Linked DNA regions of Mus musculus. The protein of the gene in region 1 purifies or fractionates together with the protein of each later gene. This does not show direct contact. Links are inferred from orthologs where the notes say so. Each region holds a gene or a part of one and is shown in the gene's direction. Other genes may lie near its edges. The genes, in order: Ago2, Tarbp2, Gemin4, Ybx1, Dhx9 and Ddx20.

The links.
Region 2: the proteins of Ago2 (region 1) and Tarbp2 purify together in Homo sapiens (co-immunoprecipitation; 10 studies listed by BioGRID and IntAct, with this or other methods). This does not show direct contact. The link is inferred for Mus musculus from reciprocal best matches to the Homo sapiens genes AGO2 and TARBP2.
Region 3: the proteins of Ago2 (region 1) and Gemin4 purify together in Homo sapiens (affinity purification with western blotting; 4 studies listed by BioGRID and IntAct, with this or other methods). This does not show direct contact. The link is inferred for Mus musculus from reciprocal best matches to the Homo sapiens genes AGO2 and GEMIN4.
Region 4: the proteins of Ago2 (region 1) and Ybx1 purify together in Homo sapiens (co-immunoprecipitation; 4 studies listed by BioGRID and IntAct, with this or other methods). This does not show direct contact. The link is inferred for Mus musculus from reciprocal best matches to the Homo sapiens genes AGO2 and YBX1.
Region 5: the proteins of Ago2 (region 1) and Dhx9 purify together in Homo sapiens (affinity purification with western blotting; 5 studies listed by BioGRID and IntAct, with this or other methods). This does not show direct contact. The link is inferred for Mus musculus from reciprocal best matches to the Homo sapiens genes AGO2 and DHX9.
Region 6: the proteins of Ago2 (region 1) and Ddx20 purify together in Homo sapiens (affinity purification with western blotting; 3 studies listed by BioGRID). This does not show direct contact. The link is inferred for Mus musculus from reciprocal best matches to the Homo sapiens genes AGO2 and DDX20.

Annotation. Positions count from the first base shown.
Region 1 is NC_000081.6:73,182,148-73,186,254, reverse strand, and holds the start of Ago2 (protein argonaute-2), read left to right. Parts: upstream 1-1,307; 5' UTR 1,308-1,472; coding exon 1,473-1,494; intron 1,495-4,107.
Region 2 is NC_000081.6:102,516,861-102,520,991, forward strand, and holds the start of Tarbp2 (RISC-loading complex subunit TARBP2), read left to right. Parts: upstream 1-1,331; 5' UTR 1,332-1,689; coding exon 1,690-1,742; intron 1,743-1,792; exon of another isoform or gene 1,793-1,984; intron 1,985-2,261; coding exon 2,262-2,431; intron 2,432-3,614; coding exon 3,615-3,717; intron 3,718-4,131. UniProt on the Homo sapiens protein: Required for formation of the RNA induced silencing complex (RISC). Component of the RISC loading complex (RLC), also known as the micro-RNA (miRNA) loading complex (miRLC), which is composed of DICER1, AGO2 and TARBP2.
Region 3 is NC_000077.6:76,214,773-76,219,026, reverse strand, and holds the start of Gemin4 (gem-associated protein 4), read left to right. Parts: upstream 1-1,454; 5' UTR 1,455-1,539; coding exon 1,540-1,549; intron 1,550-4,254. Other genes in the region: Dbil5 (diazepam-binding inhibitor-like 5), read right to left, coding at 492-755. UniProt on the Homo sapiens protein: The SMN complex catalyzes the assembly of small nuclear ribonucleoproteins (snRNPs), the building blocks of the spliceosome, and thereby plays an important role in the splicing of cellular pre-mRNAs.
Region 4 is NC_000070.6:119,281,014-119,284,513, reverse strand, and holds part of Ybx1 (Y-box-binding protein 1), read left to right. Parts: intron 1-1,643; coding exon 1,644-1,733; intron 1,734-2,065; coding exon 2,066-2,368; intron 2,369-2,861; coding exon 2,862-2,944; intron 2,945-3,500. UniProt on the Homo sapiens protein: DNA- and RNA-binding protein involved in various processes, such as translational repression, RNA stabilization, mRNA splicing, DNA repair and transcription regulation.
Region 5 is NC_000067.6:153,456,661-153,460,160, reverse strand, and holds part of Dhx9 (ATP-dependent RNA helicase A), read left to right. Parts: intron 1-441; coding exon 442-603; intron 604-695; coding exon 696-823; intron 824-1,424; exon of another isoform or gene 1,425-1,497; intron 1,498-1,671; coding exon 1,672-1,901; intron 1,902-1,992; coding exon 1,993-2,108; intron 2,109-2,429; coding exon 2,430-2,630; intron 2,631-3,407; coding exon 3,408-3,500. UniProt on the Homo sapiens protein: Multifunctional ATP-dependent nucleic acid helicase that unwinds DNA and RNA in a 3' to 5' direction and that plays important roles in many processes, such as DNA replication, transcriptional activation, post-transcriptional RNA regulation, mRNA translation and RNA-mediated gene silencing.
Region 6 is NC_000069.6:105,684,772-105,688,772, reverse strand, and holds the start of Ddx20 (probable ATP-dependent RNA helicase DDX20), read left to right. Parts: upstream 1-1,201; 5' UTR 1,202-1,345; coding exon 1,346-1,649; intron 1,650-2,039; coding exon 2,040-2,134; intron 2,135-4,001.

The DNA of each region.
Region 1 (4,107 bases):
GCTCCACTGCTGAGTGAAGTCTAACACCGCCTCCCGCCGAACACCACCTCCCCCCCCCCCCCACCTCACCGCATCCCCATTAGTTCTGTGTTACCCTGACTGGTTCTGAGCCAAGATGACTCCTGAGTTCAGCAAATCCTGTCTCCATCCCTAAAGTACCAAAGTATTGGTACCGCAAGGGCTAGGTATGATTGATTACCCATTTGTGTCAATCACTTGGGAGAGGGGTGGGGGCAAGTCTTTCTTCTATGTATCCTAGACTAGATTTACGGTTGCCATCCGCCTCCCTCGACTTCTGGCTAGCTGGAATGGCAGCCCTGCAATGCTGTGTCTAGTTTCCTCCTCCTCCTCCTTTATTGGAAGGAGAGCTGCTTTTCTTGTTCCTGGGACTATCTTTGAGCACTACACAGAATATGGAGCCTACCCCGATCCTGGGGTCCCTGCAGTAGGACCCTGTTTGTCTTTGGCCTGGGTTCTCAGTATGGGCTTTGAAGACATTGCAAAGCCTGCAGGGCGAGGCAGGAGCTGACACACCCGCCTCTTCTATAGAAAGGTTCCAGAGGCAGCTGGACAGGACTAGGAGCACACGCCAGCAACAAGTGAAGAAGGGACATACGTGCACAGAGCATGCTGGTCTAGCAGGCCTCAGAGCAGAACTTGGGGGCTCGGAGGCCAGAAAGCGGGAAGCCCCGACCAGATCTGCTCCCTGACAGCTGATAAAATTTAATCCTGAACTTGCTGGGCTTCCTTGGTGCTTTGCTAGGATTATCTAGGTTGTGGAGTCGCGCCGGGAGGTGGCGGTGTGGTCACGCGCACGGGTCTGGCCGCGTCCAAGTTCAAGCTCTGGGTGGGGAGCTAGCTTCCCGTCGCCGTTTCGTTAATAACTTAAAGAGCCAGGCCGAGGTGCAGGGGCGGGTGCGTGGCGGGACGCGGCCGAGGCTCTGCCACTCGGCGCGGGAGGACTCCGACTCTGGTCGCAGTGCCGGGCTGGCCGCGCCCGGAAACCAGACGTCGCCTCGCTCGGCCGCAGGGAAGGTCTCGGCTCGCGTGCCCTGGGTCGCTTCTGGGGTCCCTCATTCAGGGCAAGCACGCGGGGGGCCGCCACAGCGAGTCCCCCCCCCCCCATCCCGCCGGCGCGCGCCGCCTCCAGCCTCCTCCCCTGCCCCCCTCTCTCCCTGCCACCTTCCCTCCTCCCCGCCTCCTCCCTCCCCGCTGTCCCCTCCTTCCCTCCCTCCCCGCCGTCCCCTCCCTCGTCGTCCCTCTCGCCCCTCCTCCTCCCCTCCCTCCTCCCGCTCCCCTCCCCCTCCGCTCCCGCCGCCTCCGCCCGCCGCCCCGGCCGCGTCGGGTAAACCTGTTCTGCGAGGCGGCCGCGCCGGGGCGGATCGAGCGGCCGGCGGCTCCTCGCGGCTCGCGGCGTCGGGGCCCGTGGAGCGCGCGGCCGGCCCTCGGCCGCGGCCCTCGGCAACGCCACCATGTACTCGGGAGCCGGCCCCGGTGAGTCCGCGCGGCGCCCGGCACTCGTGCCGCGGCGGTTGGCGGTTGGCGGGCGGGGCAGGCGAGGGCGGCGGGGCCTGTGGGGCCGCGGCGTAGCCTCGGGGCGGCCGGGCAGGGCCTCGGGGCCGGGAGGCCCAGTGCACCCGAGCAGCGCCACCGGGACGTGTGCGGGGGCCCAGGCTCGGCCTGCAACGGGTCTCCGTCCTCCCGCAGCGCTCCTCCCGCCGTTCCCGAGCGCATAGCTGTGGGGCCCAGCACGGCGGGCCTGGGGCGGGGAGCTGGACGGGTCGGGAACCGAACCACGGGGCCCCGGGACCGCGATCGGTCGCTTGGACGCAGTTTCACGCCGGGCAGCCGCCCTCCCCATTCAAGTGCTAATCGCCCTGCGATTTCCTAGCGGAGCGGGTGGCCGCCGTGGCACCCCTTTCCCACCAGCGTGCCCGTTTCTCTGGAAAAGTTCCAGAAAACTTAAAAACACGGACGCATTTCCCCACCCCGCTCCTGGAGCCGAGCGGAGGGCGGTTTACTCGCGGGGTTGAGAAAACAAGTGTTGGGGAGGCTTTTTCGCCTTCTCCCGCCAGGCACGTGGCTCCATTTCCCGGCTGCCCCGCCGCTTGCTCGGGCTCAGCCTGCACCCCTTTGTCCGCCAGGCTGTACTTGGCGCCCGCGGGCCCTCCCTGCTGCCCACCTGACCTAGTGGTTCGGCCCTGGGGCCTCCCCAGACTTCTTCACTGTGGGGTCTGGAAGCCTCCCAGATCCTCCCGGGTTCCCTATGGTGCCTGCTCCGGAGCCTAGTGCGCCTCCGCTCCTGATGTCACAGGGCTCCTCGAATGCCCACTGACCAACTTGTAAATGCGTTAAAAGGCTTCCCAACGATTTGAAGACCCTTTTAACCTTGCGCTTGGGAGGTGCCCGGGTCCTAGGGACAGATGTTGGGGCCTGGAGGTCCCTGCGAAATGGCCAGCGGCAGCCTCCTGCCAGATTGGGAACCCCCCCCCCACCCCCACCCCCCAGCTCAGCGCTGTGGAGGAACCCAGCAAATCTTAGCTCCAAATTTGTACGTTTTCCCAATGTGTCAATTTCTAGTGACTTCCTCGGGGACGAGGCCAGGCTTTCGTCAATTTCGCGTGTTGATTGATCCCTTCAGCTTGCCACAGTGGGTCTTTCTTGAAGACGCTGGACAGTGGAGGCTCAGAGAGGTTTAACATCCGGGAGCCAGCAAGCATTAGGGCAACCTGTTTGAGCACTCCCCTCTAGAAGTGGTTCCCAGTCCCTTTGACCTTGACCCGCTGTTGGAAGTACTGGTTTGGTGTGGATTAGACCAGTGAGCTCTTTGCTAGGGTGGAAGTAAGAGCCTACTGTGTGTTCTGCAAGGGGAGCTTTGTTGCCTTTAAAAAAAAGAGAGAATGCGGTAGCAACCGGTTCATTTTGGTCACTGGCAGCTTTGAAGATGGCTGCTGCGTGGGCCTCCGCATTGTGGCCTAAGAGGGAGACAGTCCCCTCTAACCAAGAAGGCCTTGGGTGAGAAAAGAGATGCCTGTAGGATAATTCTTGGCTAATGGCAGACTGGGAAGGAACTCAAGTTTCAGGTGGGCCAGTGTCTGTAATTGCAAGCCTGGAGTGCAGCTCCATTTTATTGTACATATCAAGGCTTTTAATTCTGTTTACAAGGAATCCCCCCGCCCCCATCTCTTCAAAGAGACTCCATCATATTTCCAAGTTTAGGAGAATGGAAGACCATTGGATCTGAATTATAGAAAAGCGACAGACTTTTGCTGTTTCTGAGCTTGATGGGAAGTAAATAGTAAATTAACTTTAAAAATAGAATTCACCGTGGGTTCTTATTGTGTCTGTCACAAATACTGTTAGATGTGTGAGGTTAGTAACATTGGGGGCCAAGGTTTAGAACCTCATAGGGTTTTTTTCTTTTCCTTCCTGTGCTATTGGGGTTGGTTAGTGGTTTCGGGAAGGTAAATTAACTACCCATACTGAAACTTCCTAGATAGTGGGTTCTGGGTGGGGTCCCCCCCACCCAAGGATCTTAAACTGTCTGGGAGGAGCTTTGCCTCCTGCAAGGCGGTGCTCCTGCATTCTAGAGCCCAGGAGTATTTGCTACAAAATAACCTCTGTGACTCTGGAAACTGGGTTGAGAGTTGCCAATCAGGACTGAGTCTTTGATCATTGCTGTGGCCTCCGGTGGCAGCGGTTAGCCCTGCCCCCACCCTCATTCTCCCCAATTCACAGTTTTGTCTGAGGGTACCACTGCAGCCTGGCGGCCTGTGTGTGCCGCAGGGAAAGCTCTGCCAACAGCTGGAACGCACAGCCGGTGGCTGAGCACTTGTGGGAAATCTTTCCCCCACCCTCCAGTAGCTTGTGGGGGAATTTAAATAAGTGTTCAAGAAAAAAGATGTAAAAGCTTTGACTTACACATTCTGAAGAAGCAACATTTTGTAACTTTTGAGTTTCTCTGTCAACACCATTGGTTTTATTCTTTACAAGTAAAGAGGCTGGGGCTGCCAGAATGATAAAAATGTTTCTCTTCTTCCCCCCCCCCACTTTTAAAAAATTTTATGAACTGTTATCACACAATTTAAAAAAAAGTTTCTACCGTGG
Region 2 (4,131 bases), about 29 Mb from region 1:
TCCTCCTCCTCCTCCTTCCCTCCTCCCCCCGTTGCCCTCCACCGGACCTGGAGAGCTGTCACCGGCGATGCTCGTGTGGAACTCAGGTGTACGGGTGTCAGCCCCAGCTTTTAGCCCCCACCCCCTACTCGAAGCCCCGTCCCCACTCGACTTGAACTCCCGCTCCTTCCAAAGCCCCCGCCCCTGGCCCCCCGGGACGGACACGCCCTGAGCGGGGGATGCTGCGCTGGAGTCGCCGGCCTCTTAAAGGAGCCTGTGGCTGCCATCCGGCGCGATCCAGGCTCCTTCCTGGAGGTGTTCTACGGCAGTTCCACTTTGGTCCTCATGCGGAATCTGTAGGATCCCCTTGTGACCTGTCTTACAGATTCTTTCCTACACCCCGAGAGCGCAGTCCATCAGTATACACAACGCTCTGGCACTGGTCCCTTGTCATACCGACATCTCCAGCTGGCCTTCCCTCGTCGCTGCTCCATTTTCACCCAATTGGAATCCACCCAGCCGTAGGTCCCTTCCCACTTCTGTGCTCCTGGATGACCGATCGCTCGTTTTCATTACTGATTCCTCTTACCTCTAACCCTATTCCTTTCTAGCAAGACATCTTATCCTAGACCCATTTTAAAAAACACTCTTTGAATCACGTTTTTCGTGGTATCACTTTCTCCTTCTGTCCAAGGTCACAAGATTTCCCATATTTCTTTCACTCTGGTGGTATCAAGGCTTTGGAGAGCCAAAGGTAATCGTTAAGCTCTGCGCGTATATTAGTTCGTTAATTATTCCTGTGCTCTTTCAGGTGAGACTAAACACAGAAGGTCCATCTAATGATTCTCGGGACAGTTAAAAGAGGTTCACTAGGGCTGATCTAAAGAGGCACGAACCCTGTCAGGCTGCGTGGAGTTAGTGAAGAGAGGCGAAGGACAAGCCACAGAAAAGCAACGGGTTTTTTGACACGGAGTGCTGAGAAGCTTACGCTACAGCCTGGGAGACCGGGTCTGAGGAGAACTCCGGACTTATAAAACCCCAGAGCTCTGGGGTGGGGGTGGCCAGGTAAGGCACACCCTCTGGGGCAGCAAAAGGACTTCGGCCAATCACAGCCTTTCCTCAAGGAGAAGGCTACACCTTTCCTCGTCTCCGCCCTCTGGGCCAAGTGACCAATCTGCAAGCGCCTACAGGAAGTCGCTCTCAGTATAGCCAATAAAGCAGCGAAGCCCGCAGCGGCGCCCGAATGACGCGCTGGCGCCTGGGTTCTGTAGTTCTCTCAGGGAGACAGACCTTACCGCCCCGCCCCTGGCCGCCTACACGCAGCTAATACGCATGCTCACAGTGTCGGCTTGGGAGGAGGCGGTGCGCAAGGAGGAAGGCGGGAATGACATTAGGAAAAAAAAAAAACCAAAAAAACAAAAAACCCAACCCACTCGTAGTAGCTTGGGAAGCTTCCGCCGAGGGTCTGCTCCTCCCAGAAGGCGGTGCAGATGCCCGGGCGAGTCTCGCTGAGGGTTGTGGGGCGGGTAGCTCGGATCCATAAGAAGACACAAGGAGCCGAGTGGGCGGGGGACTCCAGATCCCAGCATGCCCCGCGGCGGGCCCTACCGGCCGCGACTCCGGGCTTGGCCCCGGCCCTAGCTCCTCGGCGGTGTACTGGGGTGCGTGGAGGCTGTAGTCACGGTGGCGCCCGCGGGGACGGAGGAGGGAATGAGTGAAGAGGATCAGGGCTCCGGCACTACTACAGGCTGCGGGCTGCCCAGGTGAGCTGCCTCGCTTGGATTCCTGAAGGACGAAAAGTGTGAGGTGGTGAGGAGGGGCGGCGGCGCGGCCCCAGCATGCACCTGGCCTGAGGGTTGTTCCCAGCAAGCACTGGGGTAGTGGGCAGAGGTTCCCGGCATGCACTGGGGCTGTGGCCAACGCCTCCAGCTCTAGTTTGGGGTTGGCTTGATTCCCAGACTGCACTAGAGCCCTGGGCTTTATGCCCCGACGTTCAGTGTATTTGGTGGGTACTGGGTTCCCGAATTGTATTGTGTCGGGGGAAATGCACGTTCAACCAGCACCACGGCACAGGATCCCTCGCCTTAACTGAGAACAGTACATTCTCCACTTGCCTTGGGACCTTGCTTTCCCTCATGCACCTTAACTTTTAACCCAGCCAATGGATGCTATACTGCCTGGGAATTCATGGACCCTATAATGTGGCTAGGTCTAATGTGACAGTGATTTGCCAGGTGGGTGCCGAAAGGGGAAGTGTGATGTTGGTCTGTGCCCCTTCCCAGCATAGAGCAAATGCTGGCCGCCAACCCGGGCAAGACCCCGATCAGCCTTCTTCAGGAGTATGGGACCAGAATAGGAAAGACGCCCGTGTACGACCTTCTCAAAGCCGAGGGCCAAGCCCATCAACCTAATTTCACCTTTCGGGTCACCGTTGGCGACACCAGCTGCACTGGTGAGGAAGGCCTGGGCAGCCTGGCTGGGGTGTGCATTCACAGGGCCCGTGGCTTAATATCATGCGATCACCTCACAGTCCTCTCCTTTAAAGCCAGGGAGGGATGGAGATATTTCAGGGGGAAAGAAGGATTGGAACAGGGCTGTGAGACGGTGGACGGGACCCGAGAGACTCACTGGCGAGAACAGGAAATGTCACAGAGATCTGCTACTTTATCACCCCAGAGGAAGAGTAAATGAGACATTGAACTCCTCGTGGGTATTAGGGGGAGCACATACTCTGCTAGCCTTCATGCCTCACATTGAACACGAAGAACTTAGTATGAGAAATTAAATGGTAGGCTCCAGTTCACATGTAATAAGTGGCAGAGCAGAGCTTTGACTTCAGACCCTCAGTTGTCTCTATTTCCTATTTACCGAGGGAAGAGAAAAGGGGAAAGAAAGACAGAGCAAAACATCCCTCCGCAACCCACCAGTGTTGGAGCTCAAAAATCCTGCCTGGCACAGTTTCATTACGGGAGCTGACTGAAAGAGGAGGTGTTCAAGGCCCATTTCTGTTGCTGTAGTAAGGCTCCGAAACTAAAAGCAGTTTAGAGGAGGAAAAGGGTTGATAGGTTTACAGTTCAGGTTACATTCATGACTAAGGGAAGCTAAGGAAGAAACTCACATTATCAGTCAAGACCAAAGAAAATAATCTGATTCTTGCTACTTCTGACTAAGGAACTCACTTCACAGCCACAGAAGCACAGCAGGAACAATGGCAGATACTCCATGCTGGCTGGCTGGCTTATTTATACTCTACTAGATTTCTTACACAGTTCAGGACCACCTGCCTAGGGGTGGTACCACAATAGTGGGCTGTGCATATCAGCATCAATTAACTATCAGTCCATCCCCCCCACCCACCCCCAGACATGCCCTCAGGCCAGGCTGATGTAGGCAATTCCTCAGTTAAGGCTCTCCTTTCAGATCCTTTTAGATCCTAGGTTGTGCCAAGTTGACTGTTAATGCTAACTAGGAAAAAGGCTAGTCCAACAATTAGTAGAACCCTTCCAGTTCTGACAGGGGAGGTTGGTCAGAGGGCTCTTCTCACTCCCTCTGGCTATGAGGAGATAGGCTGTGGGGGCTGGTTTCTCTGCTGTCCTGCCGGTGACCTCCAGTATTGCCCACGCCCCTTTTCTTAGGTCAGGGCCCCAGCAAGAAGGCAGCCAAGCACAAGGCAGCTGAGGTGGCCCTCAAACACCTCAAAGGGGGGAGCATGCTGGAACCAGCCCTGGAGGACAGCAGGTGAGGGAGGAACAGCCAAGGCACACTAGAAGCCCGCTGAGAACCCAGGCCTCTGCACTATCTACTTCTCTCCCTAAGCCTGGTCTGGTGACTCATGGCCACCCTCTCGTGGCCCCTTCCTGAGAATTTCCTCTGAAGCTGAACAGGGTGTTTCTAGAGTGCCTCAGAGTAATAGCCAGCCCCCTTTGATGGGTGGTGGCTGCTCTGGGGCATGAGAAAAGGGCATAGGGGGTGGAGGCAAAGACTGATAAAGTTGGTCCTGGCATGCCCCCTCTTTCTAGCAAGATGGCTTTCCCTCTTCCACATTCAGGTTGCAGCTTGTTGGGTAGAAAGAGACTCTTTTCTGAGCCCCCACCCTAACCTCAGTGCTTCTGAGCCAGTGTGGGGTCAGCAGAGGATCCCAGGAGGAAGAGC
Region 3 (4,254 bases), on another chromosome or scaffold:
TCAAAATCCTAACTTCTCTGGACCTGTGTTCTAGGTGAGGGCTTTTCTATTTGTCTTTAGCTCTTTAGAAGGCAGAGCCCCTTTCTCCTCTGTACTGTTGGGTTCTTGGTGTGTTGATAACCCCTGATAATACAGATCCAAGCCCCCACCCCTGGTTATTTTAATAGCATGATTCACCCCACCTCTTTGCTCTTCTGCCAAATATCCACACACATTGTGGAACTGGGAAGACTATTAATGCCAGTCAGACCACAGAAAGGCAGATTAATGGAGTTTCACCCAGCAGAGAGAGGCTTCTACACATCTAAATACTTCTCCAGGACCCTCAAAGTTTCTCTTTTGCCACAGACTCCACTCTCATGCAGTTTGAATGATTTATTGGTGTTTCTGCTAACGCTGCTACCCTTTCAGTGTGTTTCAGCCATCAGGAATCTTAAACCCGTCCCCTACCAGTGGAGCCATGCTACTTCCTTGTGTCTGCCAAAATGCTCTTAGCATGGCTCCTTTTTCTTCAGCTCTTCCACTTTAGCAATGTAGATCCTCATGGCATCCATCTTGGACATCCCTTTGTTTACCATCCAGGCCTCATATTTGGCCTTTGCTCTCACATCTGTGGCAGGAGGGACAGGGATGTTACAGTCGCCCTGGGTGGCCTGTTTGTAAAAGCTGTACACCAGCAGTTTCTCCTGATCACTCACAGGCCCCTTCAGCTGCTTGAGTGAAGCACAGGCCATTTCAAACTCCACTTGGCTCATTGGTATACCAGAGGCAATGCTTCTGTTTTTAAGTGATGCGGGGTACTAGAAGAAAGTTGGAAATAAGCAAACCATGTTATTGTTAGGCCTTGGAAAGAAGGGGTAAAGAGATAATGTGTGGGATGAACACGGGGCGTTTGTGTGTTTAATAACGTACAAATCGAGGACCAGGAATCCATTCAATTGCTCCTGCCCCGCAGAGCTTTTTCCAGTGTGACTGCCCTTCAAAGTTATAAAAGCACCTATGAGCTCTGAAAGTTGACTCTGCTGTTGCCTATAGGAGATAGTGCAGCATGAAAAGCAAGCATATAGGGAGTTTTGTGTGTCTTGGGGGGGGGGGGGATGAATCCCGTGGATCCGCTGCTGGTTAGTACACAGCTGAAGGAAAGTTATTCCATGTGGGTGAATCCGGGGCGAGAGCTGCCCGGGGTTCCTGAGTGAGGGTGAATGAGGGGTCTGGACTAAGGGGTTCGACCTCCTTGCCTGAAGGGGTCAGGTTCCACATGGAGACAGCCAACAGTACCTGTGGTTAAGAAGGCTGGGAAGCCTAGGCCGAGAGGGGGCGCTGTGGCTAGGGTGGCTTCGACGCTGCGAGCTTGTTGGAGAGGAGTACGCGTGCGCCTTGAACGGCAGCGGCTAGCAGACTACAGCACGGAAGCGGAGAAGCGCTGTGGGCGGAGCCTGTGACGCGCCTGTAGCGCCGCCCTTTGTGCCGTGGCGCGGGCAACGCGTTCGCGGCCTTGGACTAGGAGGGGCGGTCTAGCCCGCCGCCAGCGTCGCCGCCATGGACCTAGGTGGGTTCCCACTTCCCTACTCCGGCCCCTGGGCCGCACCCCCCCAAAGCACCTCCTGGGCAGGCTGAGGCTCTGCACTGCTCCTACGGTGCTCGGGAGGCTGGGGGCTTGAGGAGTTTTGGGGGACCCGCAGTCGCGAGGCCGGCCTCCATCCTGTAGCCCCACCACATGACGGTCTCCTAGAGTCCTCCTCCGTCCTTCGTAGTGTCTTCCCAGTGGGAAACCGGGAGCGAATATAGCCTTGATTCTCCTGGAAATGCTCAGGGCTACTGCACGTGTTTCGGAAATGCCGGGCTGGGAGGGACGGACGTCCGGAGAGTTCTTCGTTATTAAATGACTGCCGAGTTAGTGAACATGTTTCTTATTAGGTCGCCTAGTGCATAAAGCAAAAATACTGATACTGTCTTTCTCCCAGAGGCTTGGCGTTTTCTTTGCGACCACGTGCATAACAGGACCCCATTCGTTGACTCACGCAAAGCGACCACCCCACCCCCACCCCTCTCTTGTGAGCAGGAGTTGCGCAGCCTGAGATTTCACTTTTTGAATCCGAATTCGAGTGCTGCTTGGTTTGGAGTATCCTCCTAGGCGAGGTCTGGAAGTAAGGCGGAGTTGATAGAAATCTGTGGCCATCTGCCAACCCTCTCCACCCTGCTAGGTGTGCTCTTTAGAGGGTAAGACTAGGAGGCCGTCCTGGGAAGTACTCCAAGATTTGCAAATAATACGCTGTGGAGAAATGTCTTTGTCCCTAGCCAGCTCTTTAGTGTGGAATGGTAGTTTCGTGCCCTGCAGCTGTGAAGAGTGCTGCCAAGGCTTGACTCCCTAGTTGAGACACCTTGCAAAGTTGTGCCTGGGCCTCTAGCTTCCCATCTCCAAAACAGGAGTTATAATCCTCAAGAAGTTAGTTTGACGATTACATGATTTTTATAGGTGTCAAGCTGGGTGTGGTAGCTTATGTCTAACTAGCACTCTGGAAGCAGAGGCAGGAGGATCTCAAAATTCTAGGCCGACCTGGTCTGTATAGTTTCAAGCCAGTTCCAGCTATATAACAAGAGCCTATCTCAGAAAAAAATACAAGTATGCCACCCAGCACAGTGCCTACCAAAGTAACCAGTCACTTCCTAGCACCAGCTACTGATTTAAAAAAAAAAAAAAAAAAAAAAGCCTTTGAGTTTCCCCTGGCTATGAGCTGAGTCTGGGACTTTTCTCAAGCCACATGTACACAGTCTCTGAAAGGCACATGTTTGGCCGCAGACATTTGCTCTGCTAAGCCGATGTCTAATGCAATAAAATGTCATTTACAGTTATAAGGAAATGTGTTCGGGGGCCGGCAGACCAACCTGAGACAGAAAGAACCCTGGATTGCCTTCAGGTCTGGGTTTTGTGGGAGTGCTGAGCCTTGATTTGGGGTGGGCAGGCAGTGACAGTAAATGGTTAGTGGCCAGGAGATTTTTTAGTTGCCTGGTGTCAGTAATTTTTTTTTTTCCCTGGGGGTAGGAGAAGTTTGAGATGGTAGCCATGATGTAGCCTTGGCTAGCCTGAAACTCAGTACGTGGACCAGGCTTGCCTCATAAAAATCTGCATCACTAGAGAGCTGGGACTAACGGGATAGGCCACCACAGCTGTTCACTGGAGTCAGTACTTTTGCTGCCGACTCTGGCCTATGAGAATAGGGCAGATGTGTTTCTGGGAGCATAGAGGACTGAGGAGAGAGCTAGCAGTGACCGTGACAAGGTGTTGCACTCAGCTTCTAGGCCAGATTATACACTTTGGGAAAGACCTGTGCCCGTCTGTTTCTGCACTGGAGGAGACAAAATATTGACAAGACTAGTCCTGCCAACACTTGAGCATTTAAATCAGGCTCTTGATGGTCTGATTATGGTTAAGATAGCTTATATAACCCATCCAATTCTTCCATACCTGGGAGATGCTTCAAAAAGGTAACAATACCAGAATAGTTACAAAAGTGTGATTAGTGTATGTCCTGTGTCATGTGGTTCCCATACCATGAAGATTATAGTCTCATGTATATATGCATACATATATTCTCATGTATGCAGACGGGAGACTCAGTAAAGTGTAAAGTCACATCATGTTTTAACAACTGAGTTAGGATTTGAATCCATTATCTTGATTAAACCCCCACATGGCCTCCCTTTAAATGTCAGTTCTTAACTCAGTGAATGAGTGACCGCTGTCTTGATGTAATATTTGTTTTGTCCACTTCCTGGTTCCTACCACAGAGCCAGAACCTTCACCAGCTTGTCCTTTTTGACTGGAAGAAACTGCTGGGTGAACTTTTTCCCTGTAAGGCACAGAATGTTGAAACTTGTTGAAGCAGGAGTGTGCTTAGAAAGAAGGAAGGCAGGGCTCCGGATACAGCTCAGTGGTAGAGTGCTTGCCTGTTACATGCAAGGCTCTGAGTTCAAAAACAGGCTTAACTGAGTGTGGTGGCACAGGCTTTTGATCTCAGCACTCAGGATGTAGAGGCAGACAGATCTGAGTTCAAAGCTATCCAGTTCATAATGAGACCCTGTCTCAGAAACAACCAAAAACACTAAGACAATAAGCACCTCCCATCCCCCAAAGACTACCTATTGTATCTTCCATAGTCTGCCATCACTGGACTCAGTTTTGTTTAGGTTTTTTGTTTGTTTGTTTTTTAATTACATTCTTGGTGTGTATGTGTGGATACCACGGTGCACAAG
Region 4 (3,500 bases), on another chromosome or scaffold:
ATTGAGAATTCTGTTAAAGTAAGACACTGCTGCTACGTGAGTGCTCCACTGTGCCCAGCAAGCTTGTCTTCACATGAAGTGGGTTAGAGAAGACATCGCTGGCTGACCAGCTTTTCACTGGGACTGGGAGTGTCCACATACATTAAAAGTTACTGTAAATTTTAACCACTTTTTTTTTTAATGATAGAGATTAAAAGGCCTAGTTTCAGAATCAGTACTCACCAGTATTCAGATAGCTAAGAGCTTGGGTGGCAGCATCCTCCTTAGGAGAAGTTAACAGGATAATTAACATTTTGTAGCTCTAGAAATGAGATTCAGAGGGGAGTCCCTGTATAGATTCTAGTATATTTAAAACCCTCTGGAATATAAGTATGCAATCATTTAAATTCTAAATGTGAATTAACTGCTCATCTTTAAAAGATGAATATCCTTGTTGATAAGGTAACTTTTACCTTTCCTCTTATAAGCTGAAAATAATAGCAGACTTGAACAGACAGGCAACAAGGCTTATTAGTCTTACTGCCACTGGCAACCATGAAAGATTAGAAGGGGCTAAAAGATGAATACTAAATGTTTGGGGATTTTAATGCATGCTTCTGCTATCCCCTATGACTGCAAATAATTGAGAGTTGGCTACATATAAAAGATGTGAAACTACGGCAGTTCAGATGACAGATGAGATCAATTATTTGACTCAACTCACCCAGTCGCATTATCCCACAGTGTCACCAATATGCTTTCCTACTTATTTTTCAAGTGGTTTCAACATGGAGTTGTTCTTGGGACTTGGATGCTCAGGTCGTGGTGGTGTATCAAGTAGACTGCAGTTCTGGGCACCGGAGCTTAATTGGCCTCAGCTTTGTTGGTTGTCCTGCCTCCTCTGGAATGGAAATGCATGAGTGATCCTGTAATGGATACTGCTGTGATGTGGAATGAACATGGGATTTGGAGTCCCAAGACCTGGATTTAGAAAAGTTCCCCTGCCACTTAATAGCTGTGTGACCTTGGGCACTTCATAATTTTTTAAAGCCCTATAATGTAAGACTTAACTGTTTTCTGGGGAGCTAATAACCAACAGAGAGAAGTACAAAGAGTGGTACAGGTACATGTGAAACGCATTTCCATGGAAGTGCTCATCATAGACAGGCTGGAAGGGATTTTGGTTGACATGTGTAATTGAGTTTGATATATAGTCAAGGGACAAGAGTTGTTAATGGTCAAGAGTTGAAGCATGTCAAACTAAACTCGCCTGTCATCTAAACTGGCCGTGTGTTGGGCTAGCTTCTGCTATTAAGTGCAGTCTTTGGGGGATAGATGGAGGCCTCATTTTGTTCCAGGCTTCATATGTGATGCTTTTCCTAATAGCACCTTATTTTACACATTGTTGTGTCTGTCTTGAGTATTAAATTACTTTAGTTTTGTAAATTGTGGTAAAACGCTGGGGCCTTGTAAGATTGGAGTCTTTTGGTTGAGGTTGGGGGTATCACTGGTCCCTGCTTTCCTAAACTATTGACAGTTTGGTCTTATGTAAAGCAAATATTAAGTATATATCCAAGGTAAAAATGATGTTGACGCTGGTACATTTAAAATGAAAAAGCACATTCTTCTCCCCTGTTAATCTATTTTTGGACTGATGTTACTAGACTGCCATAAAGAAGAATAACCCCAGGAAGTACCTTCGCAGTGTAGGCGATGGAGAGACTGTGGAGTTTGATGTTGTTGAAGGAGAAAAGGTGAGGATGCTTTTGTGTAAAGGTTTGACTTCGGTATGGAAACCATGTGGAGATGTCATCCGCTAGGATGGTGGCTCTAATTGGATGGATGGTGTGTTCTGGTGACCACATGAACACAGGTGCATCGAGCCTAATGTGCTGGCTGCAGTCAGAGCAGTCTCTGCAGAGCAGTGAGGAGCTAATGATGTAGCATTCCCATGCACCCTTTGCCCATGCACACAGCCTCCACTTTGTTTTCTCTTGGGTTTGGTTTTTCCCTTCCCCATATTTTGTGAAATTTATTGAATATTTTTATTTCCTTTGTTATTGTCAATAAATAATGACTTTTGTAGGGTGCGGAGGCAGCAAATGTTACAGGCCCTGGTGGAGTTCCAGTTCAAGGCAGTAAATACGCAGCAGACCGTAACCATTATAGACGCTATCCACGTCGTAGGGGTCCTCCACGCAATTACCAGCAAAATTACCAGAATAGTGAGAGTGGGGAAAAGAACGAGGGATCGGAAAGCGCTCCTGAAGGCCAGGCCCAACAACGCCGGCCCTATCGCAGGCGAAGGTTCCCACCTTACTACATGCGGAGACCCTATGCGCGTCGACCACAGTATTCCAACCCCCCTGTGCAAGGAGAAGTGATGGAGGTAAGTGCCAAAAAGTGAAGAGGATTGACATTGAGTGTAACAAGGGTTTTGTGTGCTTGTCCTGGGAATTGAACCTAGGCTAAGAGGATGCTAGGTTAGGGCTCCAGGCTCCTTGTTAGAGCTTTTGAGAAAGACAGTGTCTTGACTGTCTCCTGGAAATTCTCTCTAAAATTGCCCTGTTAGCCACAGAGTGTGCTTTTGAACCTCCAGGTGTCTAATAATTATGATTTGACCATAATTATTAGATGTCTTGTGCTCAAGAGTTGGAGTTTAGCTGGGCAGCAGTGGTGGTGTGTGCCCTTAACCCCAGTACTCTATAGGCAGGGCAGGTGGAACTCCTGACTTGAGGCCAGCCTGGTCTGCATATGTGAAGTGCCAGGACAGCTAGGGGAGGGGCTATGTAGAAAGACCCTATCTCAAAACAAAAGTTTCAATTTGCCCATTTGGGATTTTGTTGTTGATCAAATAGACTTTAATTTCTGATGTTTTCCAGGGTGCTGACAACCAGGGTGCAGGAGAGCAAGGTAGACCAGTGAGACAGAATATGTATCGGGGTTACAGACCACGATTCCGAAGGTATGGTCCATCATAACCTGTTTGTGTTAGGTTCTTCAGCCAGATGTTACCCCTCTCCAGCATCGCGCCTCTCAGTCTTTCGTGAGTTAATACTTCACATTCTCTCTCTTTTTTTTTGGAGCTGAGGACCGAGCCCAGGGCCTTGCTAGTAGGCAAGTGCTCTGGCACATTCTCTTTATTGAAGTGAGCAGTCTTTGAGGTGTATTATTTGCCTTTTGGCACTGCTTTGTTGTTTATTTTTTAAACAAGAGTGTAGAATTGCAAATTTTCTATTCTATAAAAGGTAATAGTAGTTCAAACAACAGTATCTAAAGCATGCTTAGGAGAGAAGAAAGGCAAAGTTGATCTTACTGGGAGGTGTCTGCTACCAGTCCTCAAGTATAAAGAGTACTGTGTAGTTGGTGTTTTAGGTAAGGAACGACTGGGCTAATGGAAGGAAAGCTACATATGCACTGGTCTCCAGGGGTTAAGCCTCCCGGGGGTTAATAGCTATGTGTGCATCTACACATGGAGACTAGTAAGTGGCTAGGTTCCCCACCCCACCCAGAATTTGGGA
Region 5 (3,500 bases), on another chromosome or scaffold:
TTTCCAATTTTTTATTAGATACTTTCTTCATTTACATTTCAAATGCTATCTGAAAGTCCCCTGCTCCCTTCCCCACCCACTCCCACTTCTTGGCCCCGGCGTTCCTCCCTACTGAGGCATATACAGTTTGCAATACCAAGGGGCCTCTCTTCCCAATGATGGCGGACTGGACCATCTTCTGCTACATATGCAGCTAGAGACACGAGCTCTGGGGGTACTGGTTAGTTCATATTGTTGTTCCACCTATAGGGTTGCAGACCCCTGCAGCTCCTTGGGTACTTTATCTAGCTCCTCCATTGGGGGCCCTAATATTAGTTTTTATTTTGGAGTTCTTTGATGAGTTCAGGGATAGAGGCAGTATCCTAGCCAACAGAAGATTCAGTCCACATTTGAAGGTCTTCTAGCAAGAAGACTTAAACTGTTATACTACTCTTGTTTCAGTGTGGGAGATGCTGTCTGTACCATCTCTGCTGCTACCTGCTTCCCAGAACCCTTTATCAGCGAAGGAAAACGCCTGGGATACATACACCGGAATTTTGCTGGAAACAGATTTTCTGATCACGTGGCTCTTTTATCAGTATTCCAAGCCTGGGATGATGCTAGGTAGGAGTTTATAGGCAACTCTGTAAGCTATTTGAGTATGTAATTCAGCTTGCTGAGCCTTTGAGAGTGAATGCTTTTTCTCTTTTGTTTAGGATGAGTGGAGAAGAAGCAGAAATACGTTTTTGTGAGCAGAAGAGACTCAATATGGCTACACTGAGAATGACTTGGGAGGCCAAAGTACAGCTTAAAGAGATTCTGATTAACTCTGGATTTCCCGAAGGTATTTATAAACTGGTCATTGTGTCTCATGTTGGTAACTCTAGATCTAGGGGGCTAAAAGCAGAATAAAATCAGTGATAATTCAAAGATAGTCTGAATTAGTTGTAATACCCATTCTCAATTATATAGAAAGAAACTCCCCTAAAAAGATAATTTGTGAGTCATGGCAATAAACTACAGGTACAGGAGAATATTTATGATTCTCACCTATTTGAACATACATATTTTTATATGATGGATGAGACACTTATTCAACTTTGTTTATAGCAAGTTGAGTTCCAACTGGATTAAACTTTGTGAACTGGAGTGGGCTTAACCAGAAACAGAATATATGTTAGTACCAGAAAGTAGAATTTTAAAAGGTTATAGTTGAAGTAGGTTTGTTTGTTTGTTTGTTTGTTTTGGGGGTGTTGTTTGTTTATTTTTGTTTTTTTGTTTTTGAGACAGGGTTTTTCTTTATAGCCCTGGCTGTCCTAGAACTCACTCTGTAGACCAGGCTGGCCTCAAACTCAAAAATCCGCCTGCCTCTGCCTCCGCCTCCCAAGTGCTAGGATTAAAGGTGTGCGCCACTGCCAACTGGCCTAATTAATAAGCACACCACATAGTTCCACTGGGGCTCAAACTCAGGACCTTCTGCATATAAAGCAGATGTGATAACCACTACCCTATGGAACCAGGCATAGGGACTTCTTGAATTGTCGTTTCATCTGCTTTGCTAGTAATAACAGCGAATGCATTTCTCAAAGTTGCTCTGTGTTGGGAAAGTTCTAAGAAAGTTGTCAGAGGGCTTAGAGAGTCATGCTGTTATTTAATTTTTACAAACCATTTTCCCAAAATTTTTTTTTACAGATTGTTTATTGACACAAGTGTTTACTAACACTGGACCAGATAATAATTTGGATGTTGTTATCTCTCTGCTGGCTTTTGGTGTGTACCCCAATGTATGCTATCATAAGGAGAAGAGAAAGATTCTTACCACTGAAGGGCGCAATGCACTTATCCACAAGTCATCTGTGAACTGTCCTTTCAGCAGCCAAGACATGAAGTACCCATCTCCTTTCTTTGTTTTTGGTGAAAAGGTAAGAGGATTAGAGAAGTCTGAAAGATGAGAAATGTAATGTGACTAATTACCTATCAATGTGTGACATTTTACATTTTCTTTATTTACAGATTAGAACCCGAGCCATCTCTGCTAAAGGCATGACCTTAGTGACCCCCTTACAGCTACTTCTCTTTGCCTCCAAGAAAGTCCAGTCGGATGGGCAGATTGTGTTTATAGATGACTGGTAGGGACTTTCAGTCGTAATCTTCAACCTGAATTTTTAGAATAAAGATTTCTTAGAATAATGTGTTTAATAATAGTCCTTAGAGATGTTCTTAGTCTGGTATATTATATACTTAGAACTGGACATTTTTTGAGATGTTTGTATGTTCATACTGAATGTTACTGTTATTACATTCACCTAGGTTTGGGGCATGTCTTAATTTTAATGAAATAGTTAAATTTATGCCACGACTTTAACACATGGGAGGGCAGTTTGTCAGGTATTCATCTGCCTCTTTCTGTATATGTTTCCAGTTTTATGTCTTGTTTTCCTTCATCTTAGGATCAGACTGCAAATATCTCATGAAGCTGCAGCATGCATCACAGCCCTCCGGGCAGCCATGGAAGCTCTGGTTGTTGAAGTGTCCAAACAACCAAATATTATCAGCCAATTGGACCCTGTAAATGAACATATGCTAAACACAATCCGACAGATTTCTAGGCCCTCAGCTGCTGGTATCAACCTTATGATTGGAAGTGTAAGGTGAGTACCTAATTTTATGTGTCTAGCTTTTGCAGACCTAGAATTATTAAAACTAGTTGGTAGAGTCCTTGATACTTAGGTTAAAATTATTTAACATTAAATGTGGGAGTTTAATTTGACTCAGAACAAAAGATTTCCTTTTTTCCTATAAATTAATTTACAATGCCATATGAGAAATAAAGCCCTAAAAAGTAGAACAGATTAAAAGTCTGAAAATGATGTAACCTAGATGAGGCCTTTTCCTCCATACTGTGGAATCTCAGATACAGTATTATTCCTTTCTCAAATAGAAAGGTCAGTGTTTATTTTACTGTCTGCCTTAAGAAATTTCTCTTCAGTGGTCACCCACCTGCATTTATAAGAAAGGAATGTTACAGTGTATGTTTGTGTTCCTTATTTATGCTTATTAGTTTTGAGTATTTCAATTTTAATCACTTTTGAAGTAATAAACACACTATGAAAGATCCTCTGGATCTTTTATCAAGTTATCTGCCTTTAATTTTAGTATAACTGAACTGTTGTTATGATTTATTACTCTGGCTTCTTTAACATGAACAAATACAGGTAGGGAGTCATGAGGAGTTTCCACCAAAGTCATTTGTACAGGAAAACACTTGATAAAAAAAATACTGTGAATTACAGGAACTTTGTGGTCTATGGAAAAATACTGAAAGGGCTGTTTATACCACATGAGTCTCATTATTAGGTCAAAATTAATTCACTGTGATTGCTAATTTAGTGTGCAGAGCACAGCTAAAATGATTTTTCCCCCCCTAGGTACGGCGATGGTCCACGACCTCCCAAGATGGCCCGATATGATAATGGAAGTGGATATAGAAGGGGATATGGTGGGGGAGGATATGGTGGCGG
Region 6 (4,001 bases), on another chromosome or scaffold:
GGATTGGGTGGGTGAAAGATGTGGGCAACTATGAGGAAGCTTGCGATCTTTAGTTCCTCTTCCTTCATTTGGATAGTGGACGTTTGCTTAGTGCTTTGTTAATTTCTAAGCAAACATGTCTTAGTTAGGGTTTCCATTGCTGTAAGGAGACACCATGGCCAAGGACATTTATTGGGGTTCTTTTACAGGTTCTGAGACTCAGTCCATCATCATCAATGAGAAAAGTAATAAAGATATGCTTACATTTGGAAGCATGACTAAAGCTTTGTTCTAAGAGCTCTTTCAAAAAACAGTATTTAGTACGTGCCAGATTATGTTTCTCCTACCAGAGACAGAAGGGAACAAATCAGAATAGCTTTCTGTCCTCATGGAAAGTGTGTGTGGGGGTGGTGGTGGGGGGTGGACAATAAACATTTTAGGTAGTTGTATCATGAAGAACCTGACCAGGTATGGTGGCACACACATGTCATCTCAGTATCTGAAAAGTTGAGCCAGGAGGATTTCCAATTTGAGGCCAGCCTGAGCGGCATAGGGAGACTCTGATTTAGAAAATAAACAGACCAACTAACTAAGCCAATCAAACCAAATAATCAAACTCGGGGATAGTGGTGGGAATAATGGGAAAGGCCAGGAAGCAGTCAGGATGGAAACCACTCAAGATTTCAAGAAAAGCCTCTTTGACAGGGTGACACATGAGTGGGTCTAGAGGAAGGGAAAGTGGTGTGCTAGTTGCCCACCCCATAACGGAGGAAGGGCACACAAAAGATCCGTTGGACCCGAGACGTCTATTAGCCTAGGGTTTCCGAGAGAGCGATCAAGCAGAGCCTAGGAGTTGGCGTGCAGTCCAGGTTTCCACTTAAATATCAGGAGACTTCCGTCACGCGACAGGGTACGGATCGCGAAGACTTCGGCGTGGCTACAGCCGAGCTTGACCCAAGGAGCCGACTCCAAGCCCAGGCGACGGCGACCGATTCGCGAGCTGCGTCACAAAGCGCGTCCTGGGCGCTCGGGTCTGGAGCCCCGCCGCGCGGCCAGGCACTCAGAGCCGCGGGAGGCCGGCAGCGGGCGGCGCCCACCAAGGGCACGCGGCGCCCTCTGCAGGCCGCAGGCGGCAACACACCGGTAGCCTCATCTTCCCTCGCTCTTCCCGCCTCTTTCTCAGGCTACATTTTTTTTTTTTTTCTGCTCCCTCCTAGAGTGACAGCCTCCGACTTCCGTTCTTCCCCTCCGCTTCCAGGCGTGTCCGTGTCTTCTCCGGGAGGCTGCCAATAAAGTTTTTCTCCTTCTCGCTCCCAGGAGCCCCGCCTCAAGTCTAAATATCGCGAGATCTGGAGGCGCGGCTACCATGGCGGCGGCGGCGTTTGAAGTCCCGGCGGCCTTGACAACCTCCGAGTCCACTATGGCTGCGGAGCGTGCGGCCGCGCCGGTGCAGGCTGTGGAGCCGACTCCGGCATCCCCGTGGACCCAGCGGACCGCACACGACATCGGCGGGCCGCGCACACGTACCGGGGACGTGGTGCTGGCGGAGCCCGCGGACTTCGAGTCGCTGCTGCTGTCGCGACCGGTGCTGGAGGGTCTGCGGGCGGCCGGCTTCGAGAGACCCTCTCCGGTGCAGCTCAAGGCCATCCCGTTGGGGCGCTGCGGGCTCGGTGAGGACCGGGGCCGGCCGGCGGTGGGGGGAAGGAGGGGACGGCGTGGCCCCCGGAGAGCTCCGGCTCCGCGCCATCGCGGGGCTAAGCCAGGCTCTAAGGCGCGCAGTTGAATTTGAGGGTAGGACTTTCTTCCAGCATGGAGTCCAAGTTGGAGAAGGTGAGCGGCAGAGATTCGGGGCGCAAAGGGCTGGGGAGGTAGCTCGGTGGTTAAGAGATTGGGGCATCAAGCACACCTCCTGCGCGTTTGAGAGTCAACCAAAAATACAGGTGGCAACTAGGTCCTCATGGCAGAGAACCTCTTCATTCTCCTTTCTCGTATTTGGTATCTGGTGGCATCAGTAAATCTAGGTAATAATATGTAATATATATAATTTTTTTCTTCCTCAGATTTAATTGTCCAAGCTAAGTCGGGCACTGGAAAAACTTGTGTATTCTCCACCATTGCTCTGGACTCTCTGATTCTTGAAAACTATAGTACTCAGGTGAGTCTAACTCAGGATCCGGAAGGGGGTGTGTAGCACGTGACTCTATTGAGAGTCGTGACAAACTAGTAACTCTTCCAGATGGTGAGTTTGAAGAGGCCGGACCAAAGCGTATGCAAGTTAGGGAAGTAAACTAGATGGTCACGTCGGTGAGTTGTGGCCAAGGCTACGTCCAGTATTTTAAAGTTGGAATTTTCTGTTATAAGTACATCTCGACCATTTGTCAGTTGGAATCGTACAATTAAAAATTCATTTACTTTCTGACTAGAGTGGGATTAGACATAGAAGGTAGAAGTTCTGGATTAGTAAGTACTGTGCTATGGCAGAAATTTCAGGTGGTTCTTAAAGCCTTGTGTATGTGTTGTATTGATCTCTCATTTTCTAGGTTGCCTCGGGATATGGTTTTAAGATTGTCCTACTCAGCTTTGGGTTTGGGGGATCATTCTTTAAAAAGCTTTGTTTAGCCATTGTTACATATAAATACTATAGTAGGCACTAGGGATTAAACAGTGAATAAGATGTGATCCTGACACTGTCGTCTGGAGTGTGTAGTGATGGCTGACTTCAAAAGGGGGCTTTTGAGATGGTCGATCTTCAATGTGATTCCTTTAAACCCAGGATTCTTGTATTTGTTGTCTAGAATCTTTGAGTTCTATATCCACGAAACCGTGGGAGATAATGAATATACTTTTTAAAGTACATTGGCTAATTTATTTGAGATTTAGGATGTGTTGAGAGTTTTGGCTTTGTAATACTTGGCAACAGACAAAATCCCAAACTTGAGTAAAAATCATATTTTTAAGGTATATTATTAAAATAATTAGTGCCTGTGTATTATGTAGTATCAAAGTAATACTACATAATAATTTATAGTTGGGAAAATCAGAAAGAGAGAGAGAGAGAGAGAGAGAGAGAATGAGAATAAAGTACCCAAATCTGTGATGTGTGCCCAGAGTTAAGGGATTTTTAAAAAGTCTTATTTCCTAGTCTTTTTTTTTTTAAAACCAGTATGTTCATTTCCAGTAGTTACATTGCAGTTTGTACTGTGTGGTGCTTGGGGCCTTTGGTACCTAACCTTTGCAGTTAGCTTTGAGATATAGTCCTCTCACAAACCTTTAATCCCAGCACTTGGGAGGCAGAGACAGGCGGATCTACAGAGAGAGTTCACGAACAGCTAGAGCTACACAGAGAAACTGTCTCGAAACAACAACAGAGAGTATGTGGGTCTTTCTGCTGTTCTTCATGTATATCTTACTACTTTTGAATTTGTGTTTTCTCTTCCTAAAGCATTAGTGTGTCCCACAGCTAGCTCTGTGCTATACATTTAGGTTTCTTCTCAAATGTTACCTCCTTATGGGGCTCCTAACACGTTTGTTTGAGGCAGGCACACTTGGAATAGTCCTAGCTGGCCTGAAACCTAGACTAGTCTTCAACTGAGGCAATCGATTTCTGTTTCTAGGGTAGTAGAACCTTCTGTGTGTGCCGACACTCTCGATGTAAAAGGGCTTTCTGATTATCTCATTTAAAACCACTCCCGGGCTGGTGAGATGGCTCAGTGGGTAAGAGCAACCGACTGCTCTTCCGAAGGTCAGGAGTTCAAATCCCAGCAACCACATGGTGGCTCACAACCATCCGTAACGAGATCTGACTCCCTCTTCTGGAGTGTCTGAAGACAGCTACAGTGTACTTACATATAATAATAAATAAATATTTAAAAAAAAAAAAAAAAAAAAAAAAAAACCCACTCCCCTTGTCAGGGCTTTCTCTTTTCTCTATTTGATATATATATTAAAAAAAAAATCTTACAATTTATTACTTGCTATTACATGTATATATATGTTATGTATGTATATATTCATTATGTATG